2 linked regions of the Caenorhabditis elegans genome follow. The protein of the gene in region 1 purifies or fractionates together with the protein of each later gene. This does not show direct contact. Each region holds a gene or a part of one and is shown in the gene's direction. Other genes may lie near its edges.

The links.
Region 2: the proteins of C45G9.10 (region 1) and pnc-2 fractionate together in Caenorhabditis elegans (co-fractionation; one large-scale study listed by BioGRID). This does not show direct contact.

Annotation. Positions count from the first base shown.
Region 1 is NC_003281.10:5,053,539-5,069,924, reverse strand, and holds C45G9.10 (uncharacterized protein), read left to right. Parts: upstream 1-8,026; 5' UTR 8,027-8,043; coding exon 8,044-8,098; intron 8,099-8,141; coding exon 8,142-8,234; intron 8,235-8,283; coding exon 8,284-8,445; intron 8,446-8,598; coding exon 8,599-8,726; intron 8,727-8,770; coding exon 8,771-9,360; intron 9,361-9,449; coding exon 9,450-9,736; intron 9,737-10,009; coding exon 10,010-10,153; intron 10,154-10,571; coding exon 10,572-10,932; intron 10,933-11,349; coding exon 11,350-11,636; intron 11,637-11,702; coding exon 11,703-11,846; intron 11,847-12,236; coding exon 12,237-12,663; intron 12,664-12,806; coding exon 12,807-13,044; 3' UTR 13,045-13,081; downstream 13,082-16,386. Other genes in the region: putative tRNA-dihydrouridine synthase-like protein C45G9.2, read right to left, coding at 1-7, 60-155, 197-404, 458-533, 587-708, 753-769; C45G9.11 (uncharacterized protein), read left to right, coding at 1,200-1,325, 3,802-3,954, 4,511-4,616, 4,827-4,974, 5,275-5,509, 5,636-5,932; C45G9.4 (uncharacterized protein), read right to left, coding at 6,106-6,301, 6,433-6,853, 6,909-7,143, 7,193-7,219; C45G9.9 (uncharacterized protein), read left to right, coding at 14,170-14,196, 14,246-14,480, 14,529-14,955, 15,087-15,282.
Region 2 is NC_003282.8:14,899,508-14,915,610, reverse strand, and holds pnc-2 (nicotinamidase), read left to right. Parts: upstream 1-5,921; 5' UTR 5,922-6,097; coding exon 6,098-6,217; intron 6,218-6,348; exon of another isoform or gene 6,349-6,369; intron 6,370-6,415; coding exon 6,416-6,547; intron 6,548-6,756; exon of another isoform or gene 6,757-6,777; intron 6,778-6,839; exon of another isoform or gene 6,840-6,863; intron 6,864-7,047; exon of another isoform or gene 7,048-7,086; intron 7,087-7,223; coding exon 7,224-7,454; intron 7,455-7,527; exon of another isoform or gene 7,528-7,548; intron 7,549-7,555; exon of another isoform or gene 7,556-7,741; intron 7,742-7,889; coding exon 7,890-7,952; intron 7,953-7,969; exon of another isoform or gene 7,970-7,991; intron 7,992-8,021; exon of another isoform or gene 8,022-8,045; intron 8,046-8,308; exon of another isoform or gene 8,309-8,329; intron 8,330-8,431; exon of another isoform or gene 8,432-8,455; intron 8,456-8,908; exon of another isoform or gene 8,909-8,926; coding exon 8,927-9,015; intron 9,016-9,084; exon of another isoform or gene 9,085-9,105; intron 9,106-9,426; exon of another isoform or gene 9,427-9,450; intron 9,451-9,577; exon of another isoform or gene 9,578-9,598; intron 9,599-9,640; coding exon 9,641-9,781; and 12 more. Other genes in the region: eps-8 (SH3 domain-containing protein), read right to left, coding at 15,218-15,337.

The DNA of each region.
Region 1 (16,386 bases):
CAGAGTCCTGAATAGTTTGTTTTTTCAATTTTTCTTAAGCACTTTTATTATTTTCGTACCTTTACTATTCTTAAAGCTTGAATATCGATAGGCTCCGCTCTCTGAGATGGTGTTCTTCCATGAACAGTTAGATGTGTTACGCCAGCTGCTTCTGCCTGAAATCGATAAAATCATAGTTTAAAAAAATTACTAGAACCTTTCTGCACAAATCGACTGTCTTCTCGATGTCATGATTTATTCGAATTTTCAGCGAGACACTAAAATCTGGGTCTGGGATCCGAGCTCTGGTCTGTCGAACCATGTCTGCGAGCAGTTCCGGTTTGCTTAAGAGAGCACTTCCGAATCCTTTGGAGCGTACGTCATGCTTCGGACACCCACAATTTAAATCCACGCCGGTTGAGCATCTGAAGAAGAAACCAGGAGTTATATTTTTATGTATAAAATTCAAAATTCCCACTTATAAACCATCTCTGCTGCTTCTGATAGAACAAAGGGGTCATCCGTGGCAAACTGAACGATTAATGGAGAATCGCCTGAAATAATTTAAATTAAATAGAAATACATTTCTATTTCCTGAAAACCTTACCTTCGCAGACCGAAAGCTCACTACTTCTGCATTTTTCGGATTCAATAAAGTTCTTTGCATAAATCATTGGCGTGAAACACACATCTACATCATACACGCGAACTAGCTGCCGGAATGCAAGCCTGCAAGATACTATTAATATTTTTATTAATGAAAATCAACTCACTTTGAATATCTCACCATGGGAGCAAGGTAAAACTCGGGTCGTTTTCCATTTAAATTGGGAAATGTTGAATTTTCTCGAGGTTCCATCGATAAAAACAAAACTGTATTCAGAAATTGAGGAAAAATTAATTAAAAGGGTTAGTCCGAGAGGAGTACACACTGTGCATTTCTTCGGCCATAAACACTAGTCCGCGGCCAAAACCGCGGTTATTTAAATACACCAGGAAATTATTTTTGGCATTTCACATGTTTCTGTGAATCAAATAGAAAAACATCTTGTTTTCTTAGAAACAGGATCAAAAGTGCACATAGGCTTACACATGACGTAGCATTAATAGTTAATTCAAGGAATTTAATGGCGTTGAAGTGGAAAATCGCAGAGAAATCCCACATGCGTATTTATTTTCGTTGAAAATGACCGATTTTCAGAATGCCAGAAAGTTCTGAAATGGAGCCAGTAATATCGCCAACTCTAGATTCAAAGCAGAGTTGGTCAATATTCATATTAGATCATGAAGAATCGTTGGCGAGTCCACGGAAACTCAATATTCCCAATCCAGAAAATGTCTACTCGGTAAATTTTCATTTTCAGTTTGTTTGACACTTTCGTATTTCGAAAGTTTGCATGTTTAAATATTATTAAACAATTAAATTTTAATTTATTAATTCAAAACTTCTGCATGGTGCACTTGCTGATCCATTTTTTGCAGCCTGAATCGAGTAGGCGGGAGTTTGAACCTACTGCTCTTTGCCAGACAAAAGGCAGAGTGTAGCGTAATGACCACTTTACTTTGTACCATAAACTCCCCCGACAAGAAAAGAAAGGACCCCTGTGGAGTAAATGAATGTTCTTGTAACACATTTGGGGTGGTTGTGATTTGTGTCTGTAAAGTTTTGGCCGAATTTCTCAGTTTATAACTTTTTGGAAATGAGTTCGCGCTCAAACATTTCTTAGATCTGAGCTTGACCCTGAAGTTTGCTTCAAATGGCTTAAATTCTCAAAGTTCCTAATAATAAGGATGACGTTCCACTTGGATTTTTGTATTTTCGGTTGATAAGTTTCATTGGAGCCCTGGATTATCCAGGAAAACTTCAATTCGCGACATTCATTGCTTGTATTTTCAAAATATTTCCAAATTCTTAAATTGAGATGCGTGTTATAAAATTTTGATGCACTGTAGATTCATAAATTCAGAAACTTATGCGAACTTTTATGTTTTCGTCTTTTGAAATTTGCAAACTATTGAGAGATGTCTACATATTTCCCTGAGTACAAATTTAACTGAGTGCTCGGCCAAAGTTTATTTACTAAATCTTTTCTAAGATTTTTGTTTTCGTTGTGTTACGTGTTTTTCACTTAGCAACTTCTATTCAAAATATTATTGTCATAATTCAAGTTCGTCTGAAAGCATTGGACTTTTCAGAATGCTTTTGTGTCCTAGTTCTAAGCATCTTTATTCTTAGAGTTTCTTGTTTTGGAGTCGTTATTTTTCTATTCGACCTCAAGTTATTCCAGGAGTTTACATCCTGAACAGCTTCAGTTTATATAGCTAAAAGAAGAATAGCGATATTTGGATCATCTCTTTATTCTACTCAAATTGGCCCAAGACTATTACCGTATTTCGTAACTAGGCATTTTTAAGGCGAAAACAGTTATGGCTGCTCAAAATTTCAGAAAAAATACCTATTTTCAATTAAAGTAAGATCTTAAATTTTGCCAACTTAGTTTTGGAACTTGGTTTTAAACTAATTATTACCCTTCATTGAATATTTTGTTAGCTTATTTCTAGTTTATTTGTTGATTGAAGTATAATTTCGGTATAAAGGCGTAAAAAATACATCAGAAAAATTTTGTTAGTTAACCTTTTTCATGATTAAATTCCACCAAAATATAGAACTTCGAAAAATGAAGAAAAAGGAATTTCAAATATTCTGCTAGTTGTATTTAAACTTTTGGCTGAACTATGTGAAGAGTTTTTTTCTCAAAAAAACTGAGTTTTGTCGTATATGTTGTTTCTTTTTGTTGAAACTTTAAATAACCTTTTTCTAAACATTAAACACCAGTTTTCAATTCAAATCTTCCATTCAAAAAACCTCATATTCTAAACCTGAAAACCTTTTTTCCATCATCCGTAACCCTTTCTATTTTTCCATTTCTCTCCACAATTACCTTTTCACCGCCTTTCACTTCCCCCGATTTCTTCTTCCGTTTTTTCTTCCCGCCAAAAAAAGTTTTTTTAACGGCGGCGCTGGCTCCACGGAGCACAAAACGCCCACTTTGTGTGCCTGGAAAAAATTAGAATTCGCTTGAAAGGAATCGCCACATATTCACGTAACTGAATCTCAAAAAGAATTCTGAATCTAACTTTAAAACTTTTATTCTATTAGCTTCTTTCTCTAATTCTTTAACAACAGCAAAATGATGAACGAATTTGAAAAAGTAAGTGTTTTGTGAATATATTTTTTGGAATAAGATTTTGTTTATAAAGCGGCATTTGCAAAAATTACTGTAGGCTATTCGACAAAACAATCTGAAGCTGTTACGTAACTTGGCAACGGTCCAGTTGTTCACTGGAGTTACTCCAAGTCAGGATAAGGATGAGGTTTCTTGAATGGAATTTGCATGGTACAAATATTTAATGGAATGATAGTGTTGTATTATAACCAATAACAAAGTTCATCGAAAAACTTTCAAAGTTTCCAATATCGGAAAATCTGGTACTTTATGAAGATTTAAATAAAAATAATTTTTTGCACGATGTGCTTCAAAAATATAGATTTTAGAAAATCGAATAAACACGAAACGTTTTGCAGCTTTTGCCATACCAATTTGATGATCAATGTTTGTTTTTGAATAATTTTTGATTTATCCAAAAATAATTGAGATTATTTCTTTCTTGTTCGCGCACTTCTTGCACATTCGCATGACTGTTAAATATTTTAATCAATACTTACAAATATCCATCACCGTATACACTTTCTTATCACTCTCTCAGGAGAAAGACGTTCTACTGACATAACAATGCACAGATTCGACCTTCTTCTTTCAGGAAAACCGGAGATATTTTGCTGATCAAGATTTTCGACGACCACGTCACAAACCTGATCAAAACATGGTTGAGTACTGGGTACCACCGGAGAAGACCTCGGTAGCAAAAAATAACACAACTGGGCAGGCAGTTACCCCGGGGCAGGCAAAGAAGGTGAGAACTAGAAAAGGTTAAGGGAAGTTGATGAGTATTTGTTTGTCTTAAGAAGGTTAAATGTTTGCCCCAAAACGATGGTTATGGGTCTCGCCACGAACAAAAAATTTCAATTACCATAGCAAGTACTGTAAACATTGTTTGATTTTCTTTCGATATGATAGACTTATTTTGATAATTTTTCAATAAATAATTGATATTTACAACAAAAAGAAGAGACTGTCGTTCAGTCAGTAAGTTCAAAAATTGAATTCAAATCATCTGTCTAATAAATATTTTATCAAATTCCCTATGATTTGAAAAATGACGGAATGTAACGTAGGGAATAATTGTGATGTTTATAGGCGAAAACGAAAAAAAAAAGTTTTGACAATTCCTTAATGCTATCCTGTAACAAGAGCAAAAATTACAGTAACCCAGCGAAATTGTGCAATATGTAGAGCGTAATTCCTTCATCTATGTACATACAATCAACTATTTCATTAGTTACCATCAAATAATCCTATTGACTTATATACAAATATATTTTTCTCCTACCTACTCACTTTCTTTTCAGCTGAACCAAGTGTGCCCGGCAAGCGCTCCGAATGGGAAACGAGCCATGAAAATTCCGAAAGTGAAAGAGCCACGCGGAGAGAATTCAAGCAAAAAAAGCTCAGCAGGTATGAATGGGAGACAGGAAGTATGTCTACGAAACCGACCGCCATTCACTCAGTTTCACAATGACTTCTTTACTATGGTTTTTGAAAGTTGTCTCTCTAGAACATTTTTTAGGTTACAATTTTATTGAAAAACTAGATTCAAACACTACACATGTGCCAGATTTCAGCAGCTTCCACAAGCAAATAAATAACCAATACATATATTTTCAGATCAAGCCCCTGGTCCTTTCCGGGTTATGTACTGGAAAGTCGGTCAATACTTTGAAAAAGCTAGTGGTACAGTCAATCATCATTACCAAAAAGTTGTGCTCTTCAGAAACAGAATGAAAGCAAATAAAGTGGCCCCGATACATACGAAGTGAGTTTTTTTTTGAAAATGAAGTTCGCGAGTAATCGCAAAATTTGTTTTTTTTTCGGGTTTATACTTACAACTTTTTTGGCTGAAAATGAATATTTTTGCGAAAGTTTTGGTAACAATAGTTTGGTAATCAATTTTGGCTCCTTAATGATTTTTGTAGTTTTGTAGTAGCGCCATCTCTCTTTATCTCATTTTTATCAATTGAGGAAATAAATTAAAACATTTCGGATGTATATAAAGCCTACATGGAGTCCAATCAAAATTTAAGGATTTTAAGTATCAACCAATTACTGCTTCCAGAGTACAATCCCGTCATCTTGAACTCGAACCACTATGCTGTCTATCATCATGCCTTGTAAGAGGAGGATGTACTACTGTAGTTGTATTTGAACTATGTTATGTTGTGGCAACTGCTCTTTGTATATTTGAAGCAATGTTCCGGAAGAAATTCGCTCTTTGGGAGCCATTCCCAAAAAGTTTCAACGGCTGGTTCGCTCATCCATTGTTTTATTATACAATTGCTGTTTACGATGTGGTGAGTTGGGCTTTGATTTTTTTAAAATATGAATAACCATTCTAATTACCAACTTTTCATAAATTTTTCTTCGGGCAACAACCGTCATGCTTTCCTTTTAAAAATTATTTTAAGAACGTCTTCCAGGCCCTCTTCGTGATAGCCATTGCAACAGCTCGAGCACTGGTAAATTTCGACAAAGCAGTTCTTCACATCCACTACATTTTCTGTATTTTCTCATTTTTCATCAACTTCTTCTTTCTTATTTTTAGTATTTGGTCTCTTGTCAGTCCCGGTTCACTTACATTTACACCTATCAATTGCTTGCTCATTTTTTGTTTTCTTTATCAACTACCATTGAATATTTGGGGCTTCTTTGTGGTCAAAAGTTGCCGAGATTTTTTTGCACTTATTCATGTTTTTGTGTCGTTAGCAGAGGCTTGATAAATAAATTCGTCTTAAAGAAATGCATTGATTGGGGGCAATAACTGGAAACAGTAGCGGAATAATGAATTCGTCGTCTGAATAATTTTAAATAACAAGATACAAGACAAAAATTCATATAAAAACCAAAGTTCACAAGCCACTTCATTTGTTCACAGATAACCCCCAAGTTCTCAAAAATTTCCATCCAAAATTTCGGTCATTTCATTCAAATCCTTCATCATATCACAACGTGTGGCCTTATCACTTTGGCATGCAGCGATTCGATTGCTTGCCATCCTGAGCATATGCTTCATATTTGATTCCATCATCAGTGGAACTGAATCTTCATACACCCAACGACGAACACGGCACTCGTCTTTCACGTATCTGAAACAAGAATTTTAAGGAATTTTTACTCTGTAAGAAGGTGGAAGAACGCAGGAACAAATTAAATTCCACTCGAACTCCAAAACAGGAAATGTGAGCAGTTGGACTGACAGTGTTAAAATGCAACTCACTGTGTCATGAAGAACTTGTGAGATGGATAGGCAACACTTTTACGCAGATCCTTCTGATCATCATCGTCTTGATCTTCTTTTGAATACTTCTCGGCAGTGTATTGTCTCTGGACGCGAGGAGAAGAAGCATCACCTGGCGGATCTTGTGGAAGATGTTTAGATTCAGCAGATGGCGGAGGAAGGGTCGCTGGAGCAGTGACCATTTGTTCAGTTGTACCAGTTGTTGCAGAGGTTCTTGGTGTTGTGGAAGACACGGATCTTGGCTGATACAGCGGCTCAGAACGAGGAGCCGGTTCCGGTTTAACACCAGTTGGTGGAATTGGTGTTGGAGGTCTTGGAACAACTGTTTTCGCCTTTGCATCAGCATCCACAATTCCTGATTGAATGGGCTTTTGGAGAGAAGCCTGAGCTTGTTGTGGAACTGGCTTTAAATTTCAAAAGGAGGTTTTCAACAATGTTACAACGTGGCAACTTACTTGCAGCAGGTTTGCTGGGAGCCTTCATTGGAGCCTTCTTCGGAGCCTTCTTCGGAGCCGATCTTTTTGTACGCTTAGCAGATTTTTTCGATCGTTTAGTCTTTCGCTTCTTTGCACAACAACCAAAGAGTCCCTTCTTACTCTTTCTCTTCTTTGAAGTCTTCGAAGATCTACGTGGCTTTGTCTTTGACTTATCCGATGTTGTTTTAGTAGGCTTTGGAGATACCAGTTTTTTCTGAAAAAATAAAACTTTTATTAAAAGCTTATCCAAAATGTAACCTTACCTTGTCTGGTGTGATAGCAGTGGTCATGACGGTGGTTGCTGAAGAGAGATTGAATCGAGTAGTCGAGTTGTACCCAAGTAAATATTGAGAAGTGATTGGAAAAGTTTATTTTCTGATCAAATCAATTTTATATTTATTAAACAATCATCCACGGCAGGGACCGAAAGTTCAATGCCACGTTAAAAACAAATTTTTAAAAACTTTAAAAATAAATAAAAAACAATTTTTTCAACTTTGCAACAAAAAATGATGTTTTTGAATTCCCGCGCAAATGAATGACATTTTTTGACATTTTCCCGTTTTCAGGATAGATTAATTAGCAATTATCAATATTTTTTGCCAGAAGAAAGTAAGAAAATGTGACAAATTTTTGTTTCAAATTTCAGAGAAACATGTAGAAAAATTAATTAATATACTTTTGTGTATTACTTTTTTCCTGCTCATCCAGCGTGTCTGAAATTTTATACACATTTAAGATATGGTGAGAACTAGAATATAAAATATTCATACAACTTTTCCGAAAGTTGGAAAAATTAAACATCGGTGAATTCGTAGAGAAATTAAACAAAACCTTATAATGATGCACTTTTTAACTTAAATCACAATTTTCAAAATTTATTTCCAACTAGAAAAAAAGAGATATAAAAGAATTTCTGACTACGAATAATTATTGCTGCAACCTGTTTTTTCTTTTTTGTATAAAGTTTCCCATAAGTTTTGAGAATAAGATTGATGCCTGATGTGCGAAAATTGAAAAGCGGGGGTTGAAGAGTCAAATCGAATTAGGAATCGTTATAAAAAATGGGATTCATCTTCAAAACTGCCAAGTATCAGTTTTCCAAGCTGAAAATATGGTTCTCTGGAATCTATTTGTTTTTGCTACTTCAGTCATTTTGTTGGCTGAAGGTAAACGTATTTTTGGAAAGTGGAATGTATTTCAAAGTTTAAGGAACATTTGACAATTGCAATAATGGGTTACTCACCGATAAAATTCTGAAAATCACTTCGCCGCATGGAAATGTTTCAGTTTGGGATATTAATGGTAAGTTTAAGGGTTCGCTTTGATTTTTCTAATGTTCCTTATTTTACAGAAGTAATTGTATTCGGGGAGCAGGAGTCTGGAAAATTGAGCTTAATTCTTCCCAAACAGTTTTCAATAAAATTGGAAAAGGTTGACCGCACGTTTCTGAACGTTTTCGTTTTAAAACCAATTCGAGATGATTACTTCCACAATGTTGTGATCGAATACATTGGTTAGTAACTATATTTTTAAAGATTTTGCAGGGAAACGGATGAGAGTTTTTTTTTAAATACATTAACACATAGGTTTTGTAAAGCGGCTTTTAACAATTTCCCCACTAACCCCTTACCATCTTGAAATTTGTACACATTTCCCTAATTTCCAGTCTCAAAGGAGTGGCATCCATCCCTACAATTTGATCTTCAGTCGATTCATTTGAAAATTGTGGATGATCGGAGTGGACAATCGAAAGATCTCATTTTACTTTACGATCTTCGGGCGGAAGGGCAACAAGTTCGTTTTCTTTCACACTTTTTACAGTCCAAAAACGTTTGTAGACCTCCAAAATCTTACTCGCTCCGAATAAAAGAGATCCAAAATGTCAAAGACCTGCTGTAATGGATACAATTCACTACAGTCAAGTATTTGTTCAAAATGCAATGAGAAATCGATCGCATGTATCATCAGGAAGCCGTTGTACAATTGCATTTCTACTGAATACAAATGGAGATTTTGAGAATTACGTGACAAGTAAAAATGATGAGATTAGAATTCTAAACTACACAAAGATTATCAATGCGAATGAATACGCCTATATATTAGTAGAGTTTGAGACGCTGAAACCGGGAAAAGCTGAATTCAATGTGGTCCAGAAACAAATCAGCAATAAAAAAACAAGAGAATTTTACGGTGTACCAATTACTATTGTTCCTGGATTTATCGATTTCTGGAAATCGTCAGAATTTTCAAACGAGAATTTGAATCCAAATGAACAAATCAGCATTTTCAAAACGTTCCTGTATGATCCCACAGAGAACAAAGCACTCAGTTTTGATGGAAACGAAGAGGTTATAAATATTAATAGACCTTCTACCAACTACAGCGAACTTGTATTTGTATTTAAAACGGAGAACAAACACTTTTTCCAGTAAGTCGTTTTTTTAAAGAAGTCTCCAAATTTGGGAAAATCCGTTTTAATATATGTACTATTAACTGTACATTATTTTTTATTTTTAGATTTGCAATGCAAAGTCAAGAAACTGGAATTTTCTATCGCATCTTCAAACATGATTCCAACACAATCATTACAATTCCATTCGATGGAATTCGAAATGAATTGAGCGAAGAAAATCTAAGACTTGCTTATTGTTACGATACAATGGATTTTTATAATGTCAAAATTACAACAGACGGAGTGCAGAATAGTAACAATATTGTCCAGATGAAGAAGAAATCAACAAATTCCGCAATCGAAAGTATTTGGAAATTGATTCCTCATAGGTTTGATTATTATGATGTAACTGGTAAGTTATTGTTTTTGAAGGGTGAATTTTCAAATTAAACACTTCGACTGTATAATAAGAGCGGTAGAGCTTGACAATCATCTTTTTTGATTTTCAAATTTGATATTAACCTTCTCCCTCACCAGAAAGATCATAATGTAAGGATTCTTTTGTTCCTCATTTCCGTCAATCGGCCCGAGGTGCTTCAAAAAATCTATAACGCATATGAAAAAGCAATGTTAAATATTTTCTGAAACCTCAATCAATTACTGAAACAATTGAAATTTATTGCAGATATGATATACTATGAAGAACATGATCACGGTCTACTAAGATTTGATGTCGGGGAGAATATGATAACTGAAGTAAAGAAAACATATTTCAAAACGACTCTTCGGGAGACTCTTGTTGACAAGTACCCAATTCTTAACTTTGGAGGTGAGAAATATCATTAAATATATTTGGAGGGATATTGCCCGGGTTTTCAATTACGATAAGATTCCTGTAGTTTCATCTATTATTTATTTCTGCTTTTCTAGTTTTCTTTTTTTCGTTGAAAAAAACCAGTTTTTTTTTTTTGAGTTGCGATTAGTAGAGGGAGATTGTAGCCGTGCATATTTAGAAATCGCCTTACAATGTTTTTTATTGGTAAATTTTGAAAACTTTTAATAATTTTGAGAAACTTCTGGAAATAAAAATTTTTTTTAGAAACTTTGAGAAACATAGGAAAACTTTTGGAATATTATCTGCGTTCTTTCAAGCTATTTTAAGTTTATACGAGTAAAAATCTCACAATCACTATACAACGAAACGCTTATTTTTTAAACTTTTTGTTGACAATACAACATATTTTCAGAACAATTTCCATATACGAATACATCCGTCGATATCATTATTTCGAATAACAACTCGAAAGTAATTGAAACTGCCAGTGTACAAATTAACGGATACAAGTCAGGAAGTTATATCCGTCGTATTGGGAATCCTGTATACTACGATTACATTTTCATTAACTATTTTAATTCTTCGGAATATTGGAATGTCGATGAGTCCGTGGGTGGAATCTACATGATTTTCCTGAATGATCCTTTTCGGAAGAAATCGATTGGTTTTAAACCAGATGAGAATAATAATTTCGACATTCAAAGACCATCGACAGACTACAGTGATTTGGTTGTGATCTCTGTTAATAAGACCACCAAAAATTGTGATCCAGCGTAAGTGTGTACTTGAAAAGTCGATCCATTTCCTCCATTAGTATTGCGTCTGAAATTTCAACTTTGACAGCTTGTTTCTCTGTTATAGTTCGTTCAATTTAAGAAGTGCCAATTGACAAAATGTTTTTTAGTTCTTGTTCAATCGTTTTGTAGTTAATATTTATTTATAACTTCAAAATAAATTTAGATAAAACCTTACAAAGTAAAGTAGTCAGATGCAATAGAAGAAATAGGGTAATAGGGCAAGGTTCTCACATAGATGTTTCCGCAACCATCCAGAAAATTAGGATTTTCATTTTTGAAAAATTGATATTTAAGATACTAACCCTGCGGTCCTTCTATAGTCGCCGAGAAACCAGAAAGGTGCACAAAAATATCTGTCATAATAAATCCGCCTTCACAATTTTTTTATTCCAGCATTACAGTAAGAAGCCTTGAAACTGGATTGATCTACGAACATGCTCAGTATTTTAACCCTATGGTGTTTTCGATTCGGTTTGATGGAATTCGAAACGAGTTACCAGTGGAACATTTGAGCATAGAACGTTTTGATACAGTTTATCATGTTAAAATTACAAACAAACATGTTTCAATTGGATACACATCGGAAGTTAATTCGGTATTTAACGGTGTTTGGGAGAAACAAGAAAATGCATGCACTGCAGTAGCAGAAGTAGGGGTACACAAATATTACATTAACGGAGGTAAGTCTTATTTAAAAAATTATAATATATTAACAAAAAAATCATTTCAAGTAGACAATGTTTCAGAAACAATCATTCTCGAAGAAAAACAAAGTGGATCTTTGATCTTCGATGTTCCCAAAAATGCGATTGTAACTATTTTGATCAGTTCATCGAAATGTTCTGATCTGGATGTGAACAGGGAGTTCGCGAATAAGTTTAGCTATCAAGGTAAGTTGGGTTTCAAAAATACATTTTATTTTGTATTCTGTTTGTTTGAAATATGGACGATTTATTTTTTTTATGTTATTTCTTTTGAAATTAAGAGTAACTCTTTATTCGGTTTTTAAATAGTTCAAAACTTTGACGAAAACTTTGATTACTTTGCAATGTGTCCATCTGGAGCCTCGAAACCTCATTATTGTGGGTGTACGATGCGCGAATTGCGACAAGTAAATTAATTGAGATGTTATGAGCAAATCACCAATTCATGCATATCTATAATTAAGATTAATATTTCTTTCGAATGTTTCTATTAAAAAAATTGTTTCTCTTCAAGATCTTACAAAAAAAAGTAGTTGGGTCAACGTTAAACTTTATGAACTTTATATATTATTTCAGTGCTTGAAAATGTTTGTCCGGATTCGAAAGGATATTTTGACATTACTGTCATTGTCAAGGATAGTAACATCAATCAGAACTTCCGTGTTCATTACCAAATCGGAAGCCGAACATTTGAAAGACCGCAAACAACTAGTCCTACATATATTCCTGTTACAACATCATATCCTCCAACAACAAATCCTCCTTCTCCGGCACTACCAAATTTGATTGATTTCTTGAATAAGGAGAGGGAAAATGTTAATTTCAAATATGATTCTACGGAACTTGCAATGATATGTTCATACGAGATATTTGAAAATGGAACAACAACTATCACAAGAGTTTTACCTGTAAATGGAACATATACGATTGCAAAATATTTGGGAGCAAAAACAACTGGAATTGCATTCTTCATAAATAAATCTGACAAAACAGAAGCATACAGGTAAGCTGTAAAGGCATATGGAAGTAATCTGTAAAACCTCAATCATGAAAAATTTTAACTTTTTTCAAAAAATACCAAAATTTGTTTTCAATTTGGAGCAAACGTTGACTGTGAAATAAGAACGAGATAACTTTATATTTCAGACTGACTGAAAAAAGTATTACAATGGGATTCGAAAACAGTGTTACAAGTGAAAATCATGAAGGGAATGAATGGATTGTAACGAGTGAATTCCAAGGGGAAAGGAAGAATTTGAAGGAAGAATCATTGATTGCTACATTGGAAAATTTGAATTCCAAGAGAAAAACTGAAGTTAATGTTCAAGTCAAAGCTTATTTTAAGTCATTTCTTGATGCTAAATTTAAAAAGTTGTCTTCTTGAATTGTTTTGATTGAAATGAAATATATCAGATGGGAATAATGTCGAAAGTTCAATGAATATAAATACATGGCAAACGTCTCCTAAATAACAGAAAATAGTCTCAATATACCGAATCTGATTGTGAAATTGTTTTCAAAAATAATTGAGCCCTTTAAATTTTTCTTGCGTGTAAAATCGTTTTTTATAATTTAGAAAAACGTTTTTTTTTATTCAGACGTAGCAGTCTTATAGCTTACTCAAAAAAGAAAACGATTCCTGTTTTTCCAGATAACTTTTTATAACCAGGATACCAAGCAAAGCGCAACAAAAAAACTTCTCGAAAAAATGTGTTTGATTTTATTTAGAAATGGTCGAACTCTATTGGCAAACAGGCAAATTGCCGATTTGCTGAATTTGCCGGAAAAACGGTAATCGCCGAAAATTTTCGGCAAATTGTGGTTTTGCACATTTTTTTTGGAAATTTCAGAATTTCAATTTCAATCGGCAAAACTGTACGCATCATATGAATGTTCCTACATCTATTTTGAAAAGTAAGCAAATTTTTATGTAAATATCTAAAGAAAACGGGAAAACGTTCAAAAAGGCACTGCTCAAGTGTTCCCGTCTTTAAAAAAATTCCTCTAAACATTTCCGGCAAAGCTGATATCCGGGAAACGGCAAATTGTCAATTTGCCGAAAATGAAAATTTCCGACAAATCGGCAAACCGGCAAATTCTGAAAGAGTACTTCTCTTCCCGAAACTCAATTGCTAATTTTTTTTTAATATCAGGGGTACATTTCTGGAACCTAGATATTCCATCCCAGCCGCGCTACAGGGGTTTTTGTTTTTTTCTATTTTTCGTGTAACAATCTATTTTTCGTGTAACAATCTATTATTCGTGTTATTCAGAGAATTCAAAAATACATCCTTTTTTGTTGCAAAGTTGAAAAAATTGTTTTTTATTTATTTTTAAAGTTTTTAAAAATTCGTTTTTAACGTGGAATTGAACTTTCTGTCCCTGCCGTGGATTTTTTAATAAATATAAAATTGATTTGATCAGAAAATAAACTTTTCCAATCACTTCTCAATATTTACTTGGGTACAACTCGACTACTCGATTCAATCTCTCTTCAGCAACCACCGTCATGACCACTGCTATCACACCAGACAAGGTAAGGTTACATTTTGGATAAGCTTTTAATAAAAGTTTTATTTTTTCAGAAAAAACTGGTATCTCCAAAGCCTACTAAAACAACATCGGATAAGTCAAAGACAAAGCCACGTAGATCTTCGAAGACTTCAAAGAAGAGAAAGAGTAAGAAGGGACTCTTTGGTTGTTGTGCAAAGAAGCGAAAGACTAAACGATCGAAAAAATCTGCTAAGCGTACAAAAAGATCGGCTCCGAAGAAGGCTCCGAAGAAGGCTCCAATGAAGGCTCCCAGCAAACCTGCTGCAAGTAAGTTGCCAAGTTGTAACATTGTTGAAAACCTCCTTTTAAATTTAGAGCTAGTTCCACAACAAGCTCAGGCTTCTCTCCAAAAGCCCATTCAATCAGGAATTGTGGATGCTGATGCAACGGTGAAAACAGTTGTTCCAAGACCTCCAACACCAATTCCACCAACTGGTGTTAAACCGGAACCGGCTCCTCGTTCTGAGCCGCTGTATCAGCCAAGATCCGTGTCTTCCACAACACCAAGAACCTCTGCAACAACTGGTACAACTGAACAAATGGTCACTGCTCCAGCGACCCTTCCTCCGCCATCTGCTGAATCTAAACATCTTCCACAAGATCCGCCAGGTGATGCTTCTTCTCCTCGCGTCCAGAGACAATACACTGCCGAGAAGTATTCAAAAGAAGATCAAGACGATGATGATCAGAAGGATCTGCGTAAAAGTGTTGCCTATCCATCTCACAAGTTCTTCATGACACAGTGAGTTGCATTTTAACACTGTCAGTCCAACTGCTCACATTTCCTGTTTTGGAGTTCGAGTGGAATTTAATTTGTTCCTGCGTTCTTCCACCTTCTTACAGAGTAAAAATTCCTTAAAATTCTTGTTTCAGATACGTGAAAGACGAGTGCCGTGTTCGTCGTTGGGTGTATGAAGATTCAGTTCCACTGATGATGGAATCAAATATGAAGCATATGCTCAGGATGGCAAGCAATCGAATCGCTGCATGCCAAAGTGATAAGGCCAGACGTTGTGATATGATGAAGGATTTGAATGAAATGACCGAAATTTTGGATGGAAATTTTTGAGAACTTGGGGTTATCTGTGAACAAATGAACATTTCTGGAGATTCTACTGTAGTAGAAAGTAGCAAGTTTCTACAATTTCCCACGTTGCAATTACGTTTAAACTTGTTTCATGTTTGATTTCAATTAAACTTTCATATCGTTCTGACTGATGTGACTCATTCAATTTCATTTTCCTATTTTGAAATTGAATTAGAAATGTTTTGTTTGAAAGAAACAAAGACATGGATGTTGACCGTTAGACCTCGTATCTTCTTCTTTCTGAAATTCAATAAAACTCTGTGGTCCCTCTGGCCAACCAATTAGAAATTTTTGAAAACAGAAGAGAAATGATGGGAAATCGAATTAGAAACAGAAATCAAAAGAAAAAAGCACATGAGACTTCTCGTGTGTTTTGGATTTTTCAGTTTTACTTACTTCTTCTCCCGGAAAGGTTAAAATTTAGTTTTTTTTTCTAAAATATTAATTTAGAAAAGTGTTCCTCGAAAGTTCATTATGCAATTTTGTGTCATCCGTCACATATTTATCTTCAATAAAAAATTTTTTTTTCTTCTTTCCTTTTTCGCTCTTCCTAAATTTTCCCCCTTTTCCCAGCTCCAATTCCCTTGTGCCAGCTTTCTGGTAAAGCTGAACCGAAATATTTGAGGGCTCCGTTTGTTTCAGCTGAACACTTTTTTGATGTGCTTCTTCTCGCTTTTCTGGAGTGAAAAGAGTGAAGAACTTCCTGGTGCTTTGAGGGTTCTTCAACTTTTCATTCTTTTTGAATTGAGACTTAAGTTCAATTTTCCATTTTTCTGTTCAACTTTCCATTGTCGAGAAGTGATTTTGAGAAGAAAAAGTCATTCATTCGCTCAGTGCTTTTCCACAAAAAAATTTTTATGGTCCATTTAAAAGCAATTTACTTGAAAAAAAGTGTTTACGAAATATTTTAGATTGTGAACTTTTTATTTTCCAAGTATTTTTTCTGCTGGAAACATTATTTACATTGATTTGTTAATCAACATTTTTGTTGCAACTAAAATTTTGAACCAACGGTAATAGTTTCATTAAAATTTTTCTCAATTTTCTCAAAGATCGTCTAAGAAAAGTTAAAAATTACTAAATGTT
Region 2 (16,103 bases), on another chromosome or scaffold:
ATTGATTTGATTACAACAATTTAAGTATACCTTAACAAATTTAAAGGAAACAAATCAAGATAAATACAACATGAATATTAAACAAAAAAAGAAGAAGTACGTTTAACACCAATTTGAAACAATTTTTGTTAAGTTGGAATAATTTTTTAGAAAACAACTGTTTAGTTCAAGATTGAACTTCCAAAAGAACAATATTGAGAATTTTGCTGAAAAAAAGAATTGTGACGTCATGCATGTTTTTTCACAAAAATTAGACAAAATTGATTATACTAAATAATTAAATACCATAGTAATTATAAGATTGATTTGAAACAGAATTAAAAATTTTCAGAATAGGATTTCTTTATGAAATTTTTAATTTTTAAATCGACATGTTTTCAAGACTTTTTTTTTACATTTAGTAAATTCTAAAAATAATAATTTTGGAACTGTAAATAGTTAAATAAATCATATTGTAAACTTGATGACTTTAAAAATACTGGAATTAGAAAGAAAGGAGACTACTGAAAAATTGCACACACAAGAATAATTAGAGTCAACGAAACAGTGCAAGTAAAATTAATTATTTTCCCAGTATTTTAAAAAAATATTCTTCTTGGAAACTCAATAAGTTTTTTTTTCAGAAAAAATCGATTTATCCCATTTTTTGTTGTATATTCTTCAATTTTAAGTATGCTGCTTTTTGCATCTTTTCCATGTTCAAAACTTTTCCTAGAACACATTTTCGGTAATTCAATTTTTCATTTGAAATTTTTATTTTTTCTTAATAAATTTTTTAATGCTGTTTAAATCCGAAAATCTAAATTTCCAACAAAAAAAACTATTGCAAACCCTGCAATTTGAATTAATGGACCCTTTTTTCAACCAAATATTTCGTCGGTTTCAGCTTTTCTATATCAAACGGTAACATTTACGAAAAAATAATTTTTCACAGATTAAACCAAACTATTATTTCTTTAAAATTTCTCACAACCACCTCACAATGTGATTTTTTTTTCAAAAAGTCTGTTTTGGCAGAAAAAAAATGAAAATTTTTAGAAAACCTTCTATTTGAACCATTTCCGATGTTTTCAGCCTACAATTTTTGAACTCCCAATTTTCGATATTCTGTTCACGTTTATCACAGCACGTGGTTTTTTTTTAATTTTAATTTTTTTTCCGTTTCATCCAATATATGAAATTTTTTTATTATAACCTCACACAATGCTGGACACAACACGCATTTTTTTGTATGTTCGAAAAATAAATGCTCGGTTTTAAGTGCTTCATATAAAACCGTGACTTTTGAAGAAAATCGATGATTGCTCTCTAATAAGTTTTTTAAAGTTTTAAATCCCGGTTTTTGTGGTTTTCTTCACTATCAGTCTGTAACATTTTTTTTTCTCTATTTCCCATAAAATATCAAGCATGTTTTTTCAAACAATTCAGACAATTTTCATGTGCACTTGTCCGTGAATGTGGAAAAAAGTTTACAAAAGGAAATGTGCCGTGCTGATGTATAGCCCAATTGGAACATTTCTCAATTTTCGGCAAAAAAAGTGCCCGGTTTCAACTACTTTGTATAAGACTGCACAACTTTTACCAATATTCCGGTAATATTTCATTTCCAAAATGAAAAAAAAAAATTGCACATAATGTAGACAATTTGGGAATTAAAAAAGATTTCCGGTTTCATCTGCTTCTTTTAAAATTTTGACTTTTGTAGAGAACGTTCAGTCTGCATTTACAAGCTGTTAACTTTAAAAAACGGGTTTGACACGTATGCCTGTTAAAAAAATTATATTGCATAGTATACAAAGCACGTTTTGCAATAATGTTAGGCGTTGTTTTATAGAAAATTGAAAATTGTCTTTTTAAAATTGTCTATGGGCATTCGTTTACTAGGAAAACTGTAACAACTGAACAAAAATTTAAAAATTTTGGCATTTTGGTTTTCAACAAAAAATTATATATTTCTACTGATTCCTATGAATTCCTATGAAGTATTGTTTTTTTCAAATAATTTAGACAATTTCTTTGAAAACTGAAATTAATTTTCAAAAGGGATGTTTTCAAAAAAAAATCGGTTTCAACTAATTCTTATGAATATTTAAAAGACACTCGACCATTTCTGGACGTTTTCAGCAATTTTGATCAGCTATTCATTTAGATTTAGATTTTTTTTTCAATGCACATACATTTTCTTCCAGATATTTGTGCACTTGTAGCTGAAAACTAAGAAAAACTTTTATAGCACAGTTTAAAAAAATGTTTAATTCAGAAAAAATTGACGATTTTGACCAGTTTCTAGAAAAGCATAAAACTCCACTAGAAACCATTAAAAAACACAAAATTTTGACTTTTTTTAAAGCACATTTCTTCTGTTCTCAAATAAAAAAGAACTATCCAAATTCCTAAAATTCAAAAAAAAAACTTATCGTATTCATTTTTCAGTCACGATTTAGCAATTTTTTAATGTTTAAACTACATTTTTTTTTCGAATACATAACTCATTTTCAGACAATTTGTGTGCATGAAAATTAAGAAAATAAATTTCAAAACAAAAATTGTTTTACTAAAACCGGAATTTCCATTAAAAACAATCAGCATATCACACTTAGTCTCGTTTTTTTTTCCCTCATTTTCGAAAAAAAAATTTCGGTTTCAGTTAGGCTAGACAATCGCTATAAAATAAACATTTATTCTTAAAATTGAACTTTTTATTCTAGAAAAACAAAAAAAAGGCATAAAGAAACTGTCACAACCGGACAAAAATTTGACTGTTTTGGCACATTTTCTTTGTAAACCATATTTTCTTCATTTTTCTGAAATTTCAGAAAAAAAAGGATCATTCTTGAATGATTAACAATCCTGATTAACTACTAATTTTGGATTTTTAAAATAATATTTTAATGCACATAATTTCAACTATGATATGTACACATTTTTTCGAATAATTTAGACAATTTGTGTGCATTGTGCAAACTAGGAAAACTTTTAGAGGTACCTTTGTTGTGCTAAAAACAAAATTTTCACAAAAAGCTACCTGAAGAATACTAATTTTTGCCCAGTAGTTTTTTTTCTGCATTTTCCAAAAAAAATTGTTCGGTTTCATCAACTTTTTTTAAAACCAAGATTGATCCTGTTCGGTTTGATTTTCAACATTTTAATTTGACTTCTTTCCATCTGAAATAAAAAGCAGGTTTGAAAATTTTTGCAAATTTTGTAAACATTTCTAGGAAAAAAAAGCATTTAAATCCATTAAAAATCTGTCACAACTGGACAAGAAATTTTATGTTGGCATATTTTCTCTGTAAATCAATTTTGTTCATTTTCAGAAAAGGAAATTCAGAAAAACTGATCATTCTTGAATGTTTCAACAATCCTGATTGACTACTAACTTTGGATTGTTAAAATAATATTTTAATGCACTTAATTTCAACAATGATATGTTCAAATAAAATGCATGTTTGACAATTTTCGCAAATTCTGTAAACGATTTGCGTGAAAAAAAAAGCAAAAAAAATCCATTATAAAACTGTCACAACTGGACGAAAAATACTATTTTGCCATATTTTCTTTGTAAATCATATATTATTTATTTTTTATTAATTTCAGAAACAACTGATATGATTCATATTTGAATGTTTTAATAATCGTGATTAATGTCCAATTTTAGAATTAAACAAATATATTTTCAGTGTATTTTATTGTGCAAAAACCTAAATTTCCATGATAAATCACCAGAATACTCCCTCTCCTAAGAAAAAAATTGTTCTGTTTCATCTAGTTATTTTAAATCCGAAACTTTCTTTAAAAACACTAATTCGACGATTGTTGTTCTCAAATAAAGAAAATTATACAAATTCGTAAAATAATTACTATTAGCAGTTTTGTTCATTTTGCCTTAATTTCAGAGAAAAACTTAACTGGATCTTTGAACGTTTTAACAATTGTGATCAACTACCAGTTTTAGAATTTTTTTTACATTTTCAGTGCATTTCATTTCTAACAAGGAAAGGAAGTCAATCTAGTATCGAACTTTAAATTGAGACGTATGTCATTTGAAAGCTTATGTTTAGACTAGATCACCACAAAAATTTCAGCGGCGGAACTCAACTCTGAACCCCTGAAATCGCCATCTGAAAATTTTTCTCTGCGCCCTCCTAGTTTTCAATACTATTTCGTACTTATTCATTTTACTTATACAAAAAATGATTTTCAATCTTTATAAAATGATTACAAACATTGAAAACAATAAAAAACAACGGTTGATGGCCGAATGGTAAACGCTTGGAATAATGAAATAAAGGTCTCGTGTTCGATTCTTTCAGTGGGAATAATTTTTTTTTCTTCAATTTTTAAAAACTGCAATCGGGCCCTTTGTAAAAAATTGTAAAATTTTGTAACAATGCTCAATTCGAAGAAATATGTAGCTTTTTGCATGCCCGGATACAAAAAAATAGTTTTGGAATTTTTTCAAAAAAAAATTTTTTGACCAAAAATTTTGTGTCGAAAATTTATGAATTTTGATCGAAAAAATTTCAGATTTTTTTCAAAAAAATAAAAAATTCCAAAAAGCTCCCACATTGTTTGTTAGACCCTAAAAACCCCCAAAAACAATTTCTAATCTCTCAGAACCCCTTTTAAGGCCATTTACTTGACATAGAAGCCAGCGAAAAAATGCACTGGAGCACTTTCAGATGGCGATTTCAGGGGTTCAGAGTTGAGTTCCGCCGCTGAAATTTTTGTGGTGATCTAGTCTAAACATAAGCTTTCAAATGACATACGTCTCAATTTAAAGTCCGATACTAGATTGACTTCCTTTCCTTGTAAGATGTTTCCCGTTTTTTAGAAGAATTCATATAATTTGTGAGCCAGTGAAAATAAGAAATAGCTTTTATTGACACATTTGTCGTGATAAAACCTAAATTTCTATGGATACTCGTTTTATATTAGCTTTGTCTATTTCTGCATTTTCCAAAAAAAAAATTGTTCGGATTCATCTATTCATTTTAAAACCAAAATATTCTTTAAAAACACTGGGTGAAGCTTTTGAATTAAAAAAAATAAAGTAAAGAAATAAGTCGCTATTTCACCAATATTAACATTTGTATTTATTTTGACATTTATAAGTTTAAAAAATTAATTTTTAAAGTGGCGGGGGTATTATACACAATTACCGAAGAAAAAAAAAAAGCAGGCTCTGTTTCAACTATTTTATATAAGATTTTCACAAAACGTCATTTCAATCTTTTCACCACATTTAATTGTCCAGAAATAAACCAAATCCCTTAGCATTTTCCCACTAAAAATTACAATTTCCATACCTTCAAAGTACGTCAAATGGGATTCAGTGAATCATTTAGAAATTGAAATTTCTCAAATTTATTAAAATTCTCTACAAAATGACATATTTTATGACACAGAAATGATACACTTTTGGAAAAAACTGTACTGACTCTTTTTTATAAAATCTTCAGTTTTGTATTTTGGGCCAAACTTCAAAATTTTAAACATTTTTGATTTGTATGATGCTTCTCAACAATATTATGAATAAAAAAAAACAAAAAATAATTTCTATAGAAGCCAAAAAAAAGCAAAAAAACTGCTGTCGAACATATATTGGCAGAAAGTTCATATAATTTCTATGAAAATGGAAAATAATTTTCAAACATGAATGTTTCAAACTTATTTCAAATTTGAAGAAATATTCCAGTTTTCTCGTTTTTTCGAAAATAAAATACAGGCTGTTTCAACTACTTTATATAAAGTTTTCAATGCACAAAACGTCACTATAGCAATTTTTCCTGTTCCAGAAATAAACCCAATCCCTTAGCATTTTCCCACTAAAAATTCCAATTTCCATACCTTCAAAGTACGTCACATGGAATTCAGTGAACCATTTAGAAATTGAAATTTTTCAAATTCATTGAAAACTCAGGAAATCTCAACCGCCGACCGGAAACCCAATAAGTCACCAATTTCCCATTCGACACCCTTTCCACAACCTTCAACAATTTCCGACTTATTCTGCTATCGAAATTCTCCGAAAAATTCGAAAATTTTCCGTCTAGTACATACCTTGTCACTAGCGGCGCAAGCGTCGCGGAGCATAATGGGTGTCGTGCAAAATGAGCAAGATATTCGGGAGAAAATGAAAAATGAACTGATTTCGTTGGTCAATGAGATTGACTTAATTCCCGAGTTGGATCGGTTGTTGGATGATTTTATTGAGGTTAGTTAATTGATAAAAATTTGAGCAGTAGTTTTAACAGTCATTAAAAAGTTAAAAAAAAACACCAAAAATAAAATTAAAATTATTGTTTCAAATACATATGATAAAAATTTCAAAACATTTAGAAGTACTGGTTTTGTTTCCCACGTTTTTAATGCTAGTCCCACAATTTTCAAGTTTTTTTCTTCAAAAATTCAGAACAAGACATGGAACGAGGACACTCAAGAGCTCTTTACCCGAGTCGTACTCAAACCATTCACAACTTTGAGAACTTCTCTTCTCGTTGTTGATTTTCAAAATGATTTTGTGACTGGAAGTTTGAGTATTAAGGTGAGTTTAAGTTATTTGTTGTCCGACATCAACCGGGTTTTTCAATTTGTGAACAACCCGCTAGATGTCGGTCACTTCCACAATGATCGTTTTCAAGACATTCAATGAGTTATTTTCAACTTTCTCCTGCTTTAGATTTATTTGCAATTTGAAAAAAAAATTACTGTTTCATCTAAAACATTCAAATTTTTGAAAAGCAGTAATTGTATTCGTTGTGCAGTATGTATCACTTATCAGAAATTTCTACCGTTTCAGAAACTTTTTAGATTAACAAAAAATTTTGAGTGTTTATTAATAAGCCACTTTGTGCAATGGTTATTTTCTTTGAGTTTTAAATTAATTGTTAGCTATTATTAGCCAAAGCATGGAATTTTCAGAATTTTGAAAAATATTTTCTAGTTAAAACAATAAATTTCAATTCTGTATCACTTATGTATCACTTATTATTTATTTACTGTATCACTGACTACATGAATCTTATTAGAAATTTTTCATAATATTAGTAAACTCAATCAATGCGATTTTTGGCACATACTTTATCAAGTTGGAATTTATGGATAATAATATGCTGAAATGAAATAGAAACAGAATAAACATTTTAATTGCAGTTCTCAAATTTTCACAAATTCATATTTCATTTTTTCTAAACTTTAAAACTTTCATTTCCATATTCCAGGAAGGAGACGCGGAGCAAGATCCACTGGAAGCTCTTCCTCATGTCAATAATCTTTTGGAAAATCTCAATTGGAATATGATAGTCTATACTCAAGACTGGCATCCATCAAATCATATTTCATTTTTTGAACATGCTCGGAATCCGGATAGGGAGTTGGCTCCAGAGGATAAAAGTCGGAAGTTGAGACCATTTGATATTGTTCGATTTGTGAAGCCTGTTTCGACTATTCAGGTAATAAGAAAGAGGAAAATATTTTTGCCGTTTCAGTTAAAATTCATATAAGAGGTGAAACTGTAAAAATTGTTAACTTAGACAAACTTCAGGAGATGAAGAAATACATTTTTTTTATTACTTAAAACTTCTGAACTTTGGAAAATCAACGCTTATTGTAGCTGAGCAAGAAACTAAAATTCTTTCCTCGAAAATTTTAGTTATATTGCTTGGCAGCAACCGGCATTATTTGTGTTCCCACCATCCCCACAAAAACAATTAAAATCCGTGAGATGTCCGGTGCAATTGCCTGTTTCTAGAACAGTGTAGAAGATTTTCGAAAGTTTCATAAGTTTCAAAGAGAGAATAATGGGTGAATATAAGAAGGAATTTTTGAAATGCAGCATTGAAAAGTACAGAGCTATTATTTTCATTTTTATATATTCTCCTTTTCAGGTTTTGTACCCAAGTCATTGCATTCAAGGTGGATGGGGATCTCAATTGCATTTGGGACTTCAGGTTAGTTATCCTTAAATATAGAAAAATAACTCGCAAGAATAGTTTAGTTAGACATAAATTGAAATATGGACTTTTCGAAACATTGCCGAAATATTGCTCAACTTTTTTCCAAAACAAAATACGGGAAAACTGAAACAGGATTTTTTTTAAAATTCTCTTTAAAATGTTTAAATGTTCATCTGAATTTTTTGGTTTGAACCTTATTTCATAAAATATTTTCGGATTATACAAAATTTATATTTTCATCAAATCAAATCTGCGCTTCATTTTTTTCCAGTAACTTGATTTTTACTAGAATACTTTTCAGTTTGGAAATATCCTAAAATGCTTGGCTTTTATTTCTTAAAAAATTGAATGCAATATTAAATTCAAAAAAATCCAATCAAACATATGGTGTGCCGTTAATCCTAAACATGAAACAGCAATAATTTCTTGAAAATTCACAAAATCAATTCAATTCAATTCTTGCATATGAAAGAAAACCAACATCAATGAATTAATTAACCAGGTTTCTTTTTGTTTTAAAATTTGTGATGAATATGAAACATGATAAAACTCAACTGATTAAACTTTTTTTAAAATTTTTTAGTGGATTGACATAAAATGGTTTCTTTTTTCCAAAATTCCGAATAAGTTCAAGTTTTAGTTTAACTCAATGTTTATGTTTCCAAAAACCGTATCCATGAAGAAAAAGTACACTTATTTGTTTTGATTTTTTTGTGTTAATTCTCATTAAAACTGTAAATTAGTTATTCAAAAAAAATACTTTTACGGATTAGTTTTAAATTGAACTACAACAAAAATGAAATGGAATGACCAATTCATATTTGTAAAAAATCAGTCATTAATGTAGGAAATTGAAAATAATTTTTAAGTTTTAATAAATTTTCTAAATATAAAAATAAAATTTTCTGTTTCTACCACTCCGCTTAAAAATCATGTGTAAATTCATTTATTCAACAGTAAAAATTCAGAGAATTGATGGAGCCCATTACATCAAAAAAGGAGCCGATGTCTACGTAGATGCATACAGTGCTTTCAGCGATAATTGTGGAATAAAACAGTCAGTTTTTTTGGCGGCTATTAACTGTATCAAGAATTAGTTTTAAAAATTGAGCATTTCAAAATTTATTCTGGCTACAATTTGAAGCTTAATGTTTGTAAATCCTACAAAAAATGGTAAAACACGCTCAACCCCGTCTCACATTTTTCTTATAATTTGGACAATTTTTTTTTAATTAATAACCTCTTTTCTTTGTGAAAAAATTAAAACTAACAACCGAGGTAAACAATGACAAAGTTTCGGGTTTTTTCACAAACTCAGGCAGGGTTCCGCTGCTGCAGCTACAATGTGAGTCGAATTTTTTATTTTTAAAAATAGTAAAACGAGGTTAAGTATTTATTTTTGATCAAAAAACTTGAAAAACTTGAAAAATATCTAACAAGGGAAGCCAAGTTGGTATAAAGATTTTAAAGATAAAAACACGTTATTGTATCAATAATATACACAGAATCGGAAACTTTTATGAACAAGTTGAAACTGTTGAATAAACTAAACAAAAAATTCAGAAACCGAATACATTTTCAATATTTCTTTGAAAGTTCAAAATTTTTATAAATGTTAGTTCCTTCGGAAATTTTTTTATAATATCGAACAAAATATTGTTATGTCCCGTTCCCAATTCCAGATCTGAATTGGAAATGCTTCTCCGTAAAAACGACATAAATGCAGTAATTGGGTGCGGATTGGCTTATGATATTTGTGTAATGCACACTTTAAAAGACGCATCGAAACATGGATTTTTGACGTGTATCGTTAAAAGTGGAAGGTAGTTTTCGGATTTATTTTGGAACAGTGTTCCGAATGACTTTCATAGCGAACAAAATTTTTTATGAAATTTTTGAAACAGTGAAAAAAAATTTTCTAAGACTGAAAAAAAGTTTTTGATTTAATAATGAAAATATTGTTTTCCAGCAAAGGTCTTTCCTCTCTGAAAATGGATGAAGCTAACAAGATGTTCCAGAAAAGGGGCGTCGCTATCATTGATGACGAGATGGCTCAGTTGATATCGAGACGAGAAGCTTTTCCAATTGAATGGGTGAGTTGGAAAAGCACCCGACACATTTAACGGGATCAGCTTTTTCTATTCAAACTTGGCAAAATTCGCTTAATTATGATATAAACAAAAATACAATTCAAACCTACAAATATACAGACAGCTTGATGAGATATAGACTTACAAAAATAAACAAAATATTAGAGGAGCCTGGTAGATGTCGGGCGATACAATTTTGTTTTAAGAGCGAGAAAAATTACGGGATAAATATGTGAAATTTGTCATCAATATTGGATCAGAAAGGTTATAGATCAGAAAGGCCAGAAAGGAAATATTGAAATTCTCAAAAATTATGAAAATAATAACACTGTTTGTAACAGTAAACTAATTTTTAATCTTTTAGACTCTAGGCTTTTCTGAATCCTGTGTAACAATTACAATTTTCTCTGATTTTTTCCAAATTTTTGAAATATAAATTATTTTTCAGATTCGTCTTCTGGTTCATCAAGCCCAAAGCGAACTTCACGGAAAGAAATGATTTATCTTTTTTCATTTTTTTGCCCTTAAACTTCTCGACTTTTGAAACATTGTAATACCATAATGAACTGTTATTATTTAATTTAATTTTTTTAACTGTTTCGATATGTTTAGTTAATTTGATGTGCAATGATTTTTTAATTTCATGTGCAATGATTTTGATAATTTTGTTAGATTCGTTCAACATTATGCCGATCAAATAATTTTGAAAATATTTTTGTAGTATCGCTCAATTAATGGTTTGATAGAATATTTAATGGAAAGTTAACATGTTAATTTATAGGGAAAAAATTTGTAACGTTTGAGTTAGGCCGAATTTTCTCAAAACATTGTATGGTGCATTATTTCGTTTTTTTTTGCTCCAAACTTCAAATTTAAAATCTCTAAATGCATTGAAATTCACTTTAATATTTTTTCTTTTCACTCAGATAATTTATCGCATAACAGAAACAGTAAAAACCCATGTTTTCAATTTGAAATTTTTCTGAAGTGGATTTCAAGCTTATTTATATCCCCCAGAAATTAATCAAGTGGTTTCAAAAATGCGGAATATTTTCGGAGAGTAGATACGCAGTAGTAGTCAGGCAATACAGTTAATTTGAAACAGCAATTTAGTTGTGTTTTCAAATTAAGTCACTTTTAAAACTATATCCAGATTTTTTCGTGGGAAAATTTTTAAAAATCCTATTATAGTCGATCATATTAATAAGAAATTTGATATTTGGAAGAAATAAATGTTTAAAAACAAATTTCAGTTTTACAACGATTTAATTTTCTATGGTGTGTGTACTACAATAACTCACTGTTTCATCAGGCTTTTATGTTGCGAACTTGAAACTGCAAATAACCGTGAAAATATACCGGTTGGCCGAATCATTTTGAACCTATTTTGTAGTATTGAAACATTCAAGAGCATGTAGATTTTAAAAAATGAACGAGGAAGAATCCCTGAAACTGATAGTCCAATATTTTAAAGATATAACCTTTAGAAATAAATAGCATGATTCAAACATAATTCTACTTCAACAGCTTCATACAATTGTAAAGGAAAAGATAACATGTGAATTTATCGAAAAAAAATTGTTTGACCTGACAGCAATTTTCCCAAAAAACATTGCATGGTGCATTATTTAGAGTTGGTTCTTTCCTAAACGTCAAATTTACCCTCGAATGGAGAGCCATCATTGCTATATTTCACTCAGATAATTTATCGCAAAATCGAAGCAGTCAAAATAAAATGTTTCCCGATTTGAAATTTTTCTGCAGCTTATTTATATACCCCAGAAATTAATCAAGAGGTTTCAAACAGGGGTGTGCGGCAAATCTCAACATTTGCCGTGCTCGGCAAGCGGCAAATTTGGCTGATTGCAAATGGTTGCAATGTACCAAGTTACAGATATAGATTGCACTATAGATTACTAGAATGTTCAAATGTCTTGCCGCTAAGAGGTATAAAGATGTTTATTTTCAGTGCAAACTATATCTGTAACTTGGCACATAGCAACATGCAGTCTTTCCAATTTGCACTGCCGCCCAGCGGCAAGGCACGGACACACAGAAAGAGGGAGGAACACAGTACAAAGCGGAAAGACTGTACGTCTCCAGTGTACCAAGTAACAAATATAGATAAGCATCTTTATACCGCTCAACTGTAACCAGTTATAAAACATTTGTACTTTCAAAGCAATCAATTGAACAGGCACGTAAATATACAACCCTAATATATCTGTCACTTGGCACATAGCAACCAACAGTCTTTTTAATTTTCTCTGCCTCTCATCGGCAAGGTATTGAGACTAGAATAACACAAAAAAAGGGGAGGAACACAGAGCAAAGAGGAAAGACTATACGTCACCTATGTATGTATCAAGTAACAGATTTAAATCGCACTATACGTAGATAAACATCTTCATACAGCTCAATGGCAAGGCATCGGGACTAACATGACATCTTGTACTAGAGCGTGCGGCAAATTCAACAAATTTGACAAAATTTTTGCATTGAACTTGCCTGAATTTTTCCTAAAGATTGTATGGTGTTCAAATTATTTCTATATTTCACACAAATCTTTTATCGAATAATTGAAACAGTAATTTTTTTTCTAATTTGAAATGTTTCTCAAGTGGTTCTCAAGCTGTTTATATCATCCAAAAATTGATCACGAGGTTAAAAAAATGTTAGGTGTCTAGCAAAACAACAGTTAGTAGCCTCTCAAAGACATCCGGCAAATACAATGAATTTGAAACAGCAAATTATTTTTAAATCAATTTTTTAACCTGAAAAAAGTATTGAAAAGTTCCAACCTACTACATAGTTTTTGAAATTCGATACTTACAAAAAATCTTTTTAACTTTGAAAATATACAATCTTTTTCAGAACCTTAAAACTTTAACGCGGGTTATCCACTAATTTAATCGTCTTGAAAAATTGAGTTCTGAACTATTTTTTTTAGTTCTAAAATTAATACTGTTTCACAATGTTATTATCAACCATACATGCTTTAATATTCCAATGTTTAACCAATGTTTACCATTAAACCCACATTTTGCTAAAAGATTTTTGTAAAATATGAAAAGTATTTGAAATACAGAAAATGAGGTGTTTTTTTTTGTTTTTTTGGTCTCATAATACCAAAAAAAGTCCCAGCACTGTCTGCGAGAGTTCCGCCAGAGACCTAATTGAGTAACTCTCTTGATTTGTGTAATCTTAAATTTACAAATCTTCAAACAAGCGAAAAGTTTTGCCAAATGAGTTTCTTGGATTTCTCGAAGATAAAAAAAATATTGTGAAAATTTGCGATCCAATGTTTTGATGATGTAACCTTTTATTTCCGATTTTTTTCGATGTTCCATATAAACACAATAAAAAAGTGATAATAAAAATTATGTTCAGTTTGAGACGTTAAAAATCTTAAACATTACATTTTCAACTCGTTTCTCCGCCGAAATCGAATTGAAGTGCAAAAAAGTGCAAATGAACAACATCATAATCGGTTAGAACGTCGCAGAGATCTATTAGGCTAACTCTTGAAACATAAAATTTTTTGAGTAACTCAAATCAGTATTATACACAAACAACGCCTTTTTGTTTTTAAAACTAAAAAGTTGACCTAAAAATGTTGTTTTCTCGCTTAAATTTCTGTAGAAACAAACGTAATTTTTAGTTAGAAATTAAAATTTTACTGATTCGTGGCAAAATTTAATACACTAGTTTTCTGACCGGAAATTAGATTGTTCACGGCAACGTAGCATTTGCCATGTTGTGCACAAATAAGGGAACTTTTAATTGAAAGGATACTGGGACTGTAGTATTACGGTAACGAAAAATTCAGAAAATGCGTATTGCTCAACATATTTGACGACGTTGCCCTAACACTTTGAAATGTCACAATTTTTTATAGAATTTAATGTTTTAACTGTTTCAATATGTCTAGTTAGTCTTCTATTTCCATATAAATTATTTTCTTCTTTGATTCGTTTTTCAAAGTGTTCATTTAATAGTGAAAATTATGTAAAAACAAGCACCTGGAACAGAATATAAAATAAATTCGGATAATCAAGCAATACATTGGATATGAAAGTAGACTTGCCCGATTTAAAATTTCAATTAGGTTGATACCGAATTTAATTTTTGGAAAAAAATATGCATGAGGCTTAATACATTTTTCAAAAATTTGGAATTTGGTTTAACCATGTCTCAATTCAGTTACGAACACAATAGTTTCAAACGTATATTATAGTATTCATAAAATGTAGGTGAAACATACACCAGTAGATAAAATAAAACAAACAAAAAACAATCAAGTTATTTCTGTTGTGCTAAAAACTATGCTAGTTTTTCAAAGAATGATTTGATTCAAATATTTCTGAATTTTAATGGAAAAAAAGTTTGAGCGGATTGGCGCTTTCAAAATTCACTTTCCATCTTCTTCACCACTTTCATATTTTTCACAGATCATTTATGGTGTCTTTAAAACAATGAAACAATTATTCTTCAGATTGGATTTTTTTTAAAGTTTGAAGCTTTTTTCTTTTTTCTTTCTTAGAAACATTGAAACATAGGATCAAAATGTTTTAGAAAAATGGAATCAGAAAAAGAGACGTAATAGCAGCCCCTGAAATAGTGATTTTTTTTAATACAAAATTTTACAAACCAGAAAAACCATTGAAAAAATCCAAAAATTGTCGCAATAAGAACAGTTCATTTCCCATTCTTGGCATTTATAAAATACTTTTTCATTTATTTGGAACATTTACAAACTTACACAAAAACTTATTGAAGAAACTATTGTTCGCAACTTATTTGGCTTTGAAATATTAATATATTTAAAATAAAGTCTGTTTCAAACCTATTTTATTTATCTGAACAGCAGTCTTTAAAATATTCATCAAAATATTCAAATATTTCATAGTATTCGCAGAAGCATTTATTTGAAACATAATTCAATTAAAAATGTTGAAAATTCAAAATCTGAAACAAAAATGGATTAACGGAGGCAGTAAATTGAACATATTGAAAGTAAGTTTGGAATGAGTATTCATCTGGAAAATCGGGGGATTTCTTATTGTTGAGCTAGCCAAAAGAATTAGCGAAAATAATATTTAAATCAATATTTTTTTTGTGAAATTTGGATTTTTGTCGTTGGAAAAGTTAGACAGAAATTTGAAAAACCTAGAGAATTGGGTTAATAGTGAATACAGGTTCATCAGCTGCAGCTTCATTTGATAATTCCACGTGGGTTCGTCTGTGATTGAGAATTGCTTTCAATTCATCGCCAGTGTGAGTTCGGAACTGAAAATTATAAATTTCAAACATTTAAAAAGCAGTGTTTCAACTGTTTTTGTTGGAATTGATTAATTTAATTCATTTATTTAACATTTGTCAAGTATCTGCTAATATTTCTTGTTATTTTATATTAACAACTTGAAACATGACACTTTAACAAAAAGTGATGAAGTATACTTATTTATTTTTTTTCAGCAACTTTTCCCCTGGAATAGTTATTCTTTCCATGTCCTCTTACATTGAGAACTTGAAACAAAAAAATAATTTTCGTTCATGCTTCGAACAAAAACTGTATGTAACCTAGAAATTGATTGGAATTACTTTTTTTGTCAAATAATTGACACTGAAAAATTTGTACAAGTGGCTACATGCAAGTAAGTTTTTAATCGCTTTCGATTTTCAAAATATCAAAAAAAGCAGCTGTCAATTATATTTTTTCTTCAATGCATTATTATTTGTAAACTAACATATTTTGCAAAAAAATTAAATCTTCTCATACATAAGTGTTATTTTTATTTTATTACCTATTAATTTTAGCATCACACGACAATTCCATGAAGAACTTGTAAGCGTTTACTTTTTTACAATTAAGACTTAAACAGCTCCGTGCCAAAATAGATGCTTATTTGATGATGAAAATTGATGATAAAAAATTTCCCAGAATTATAAATTTTTTAAAAAATTGTTTCAACGTGCTGGTAAGGTTTCAACTAGTAAACGATAGATTTATTGCAATGAATTGAATGTTCTTAAAGTATTTTATAATTTTTAC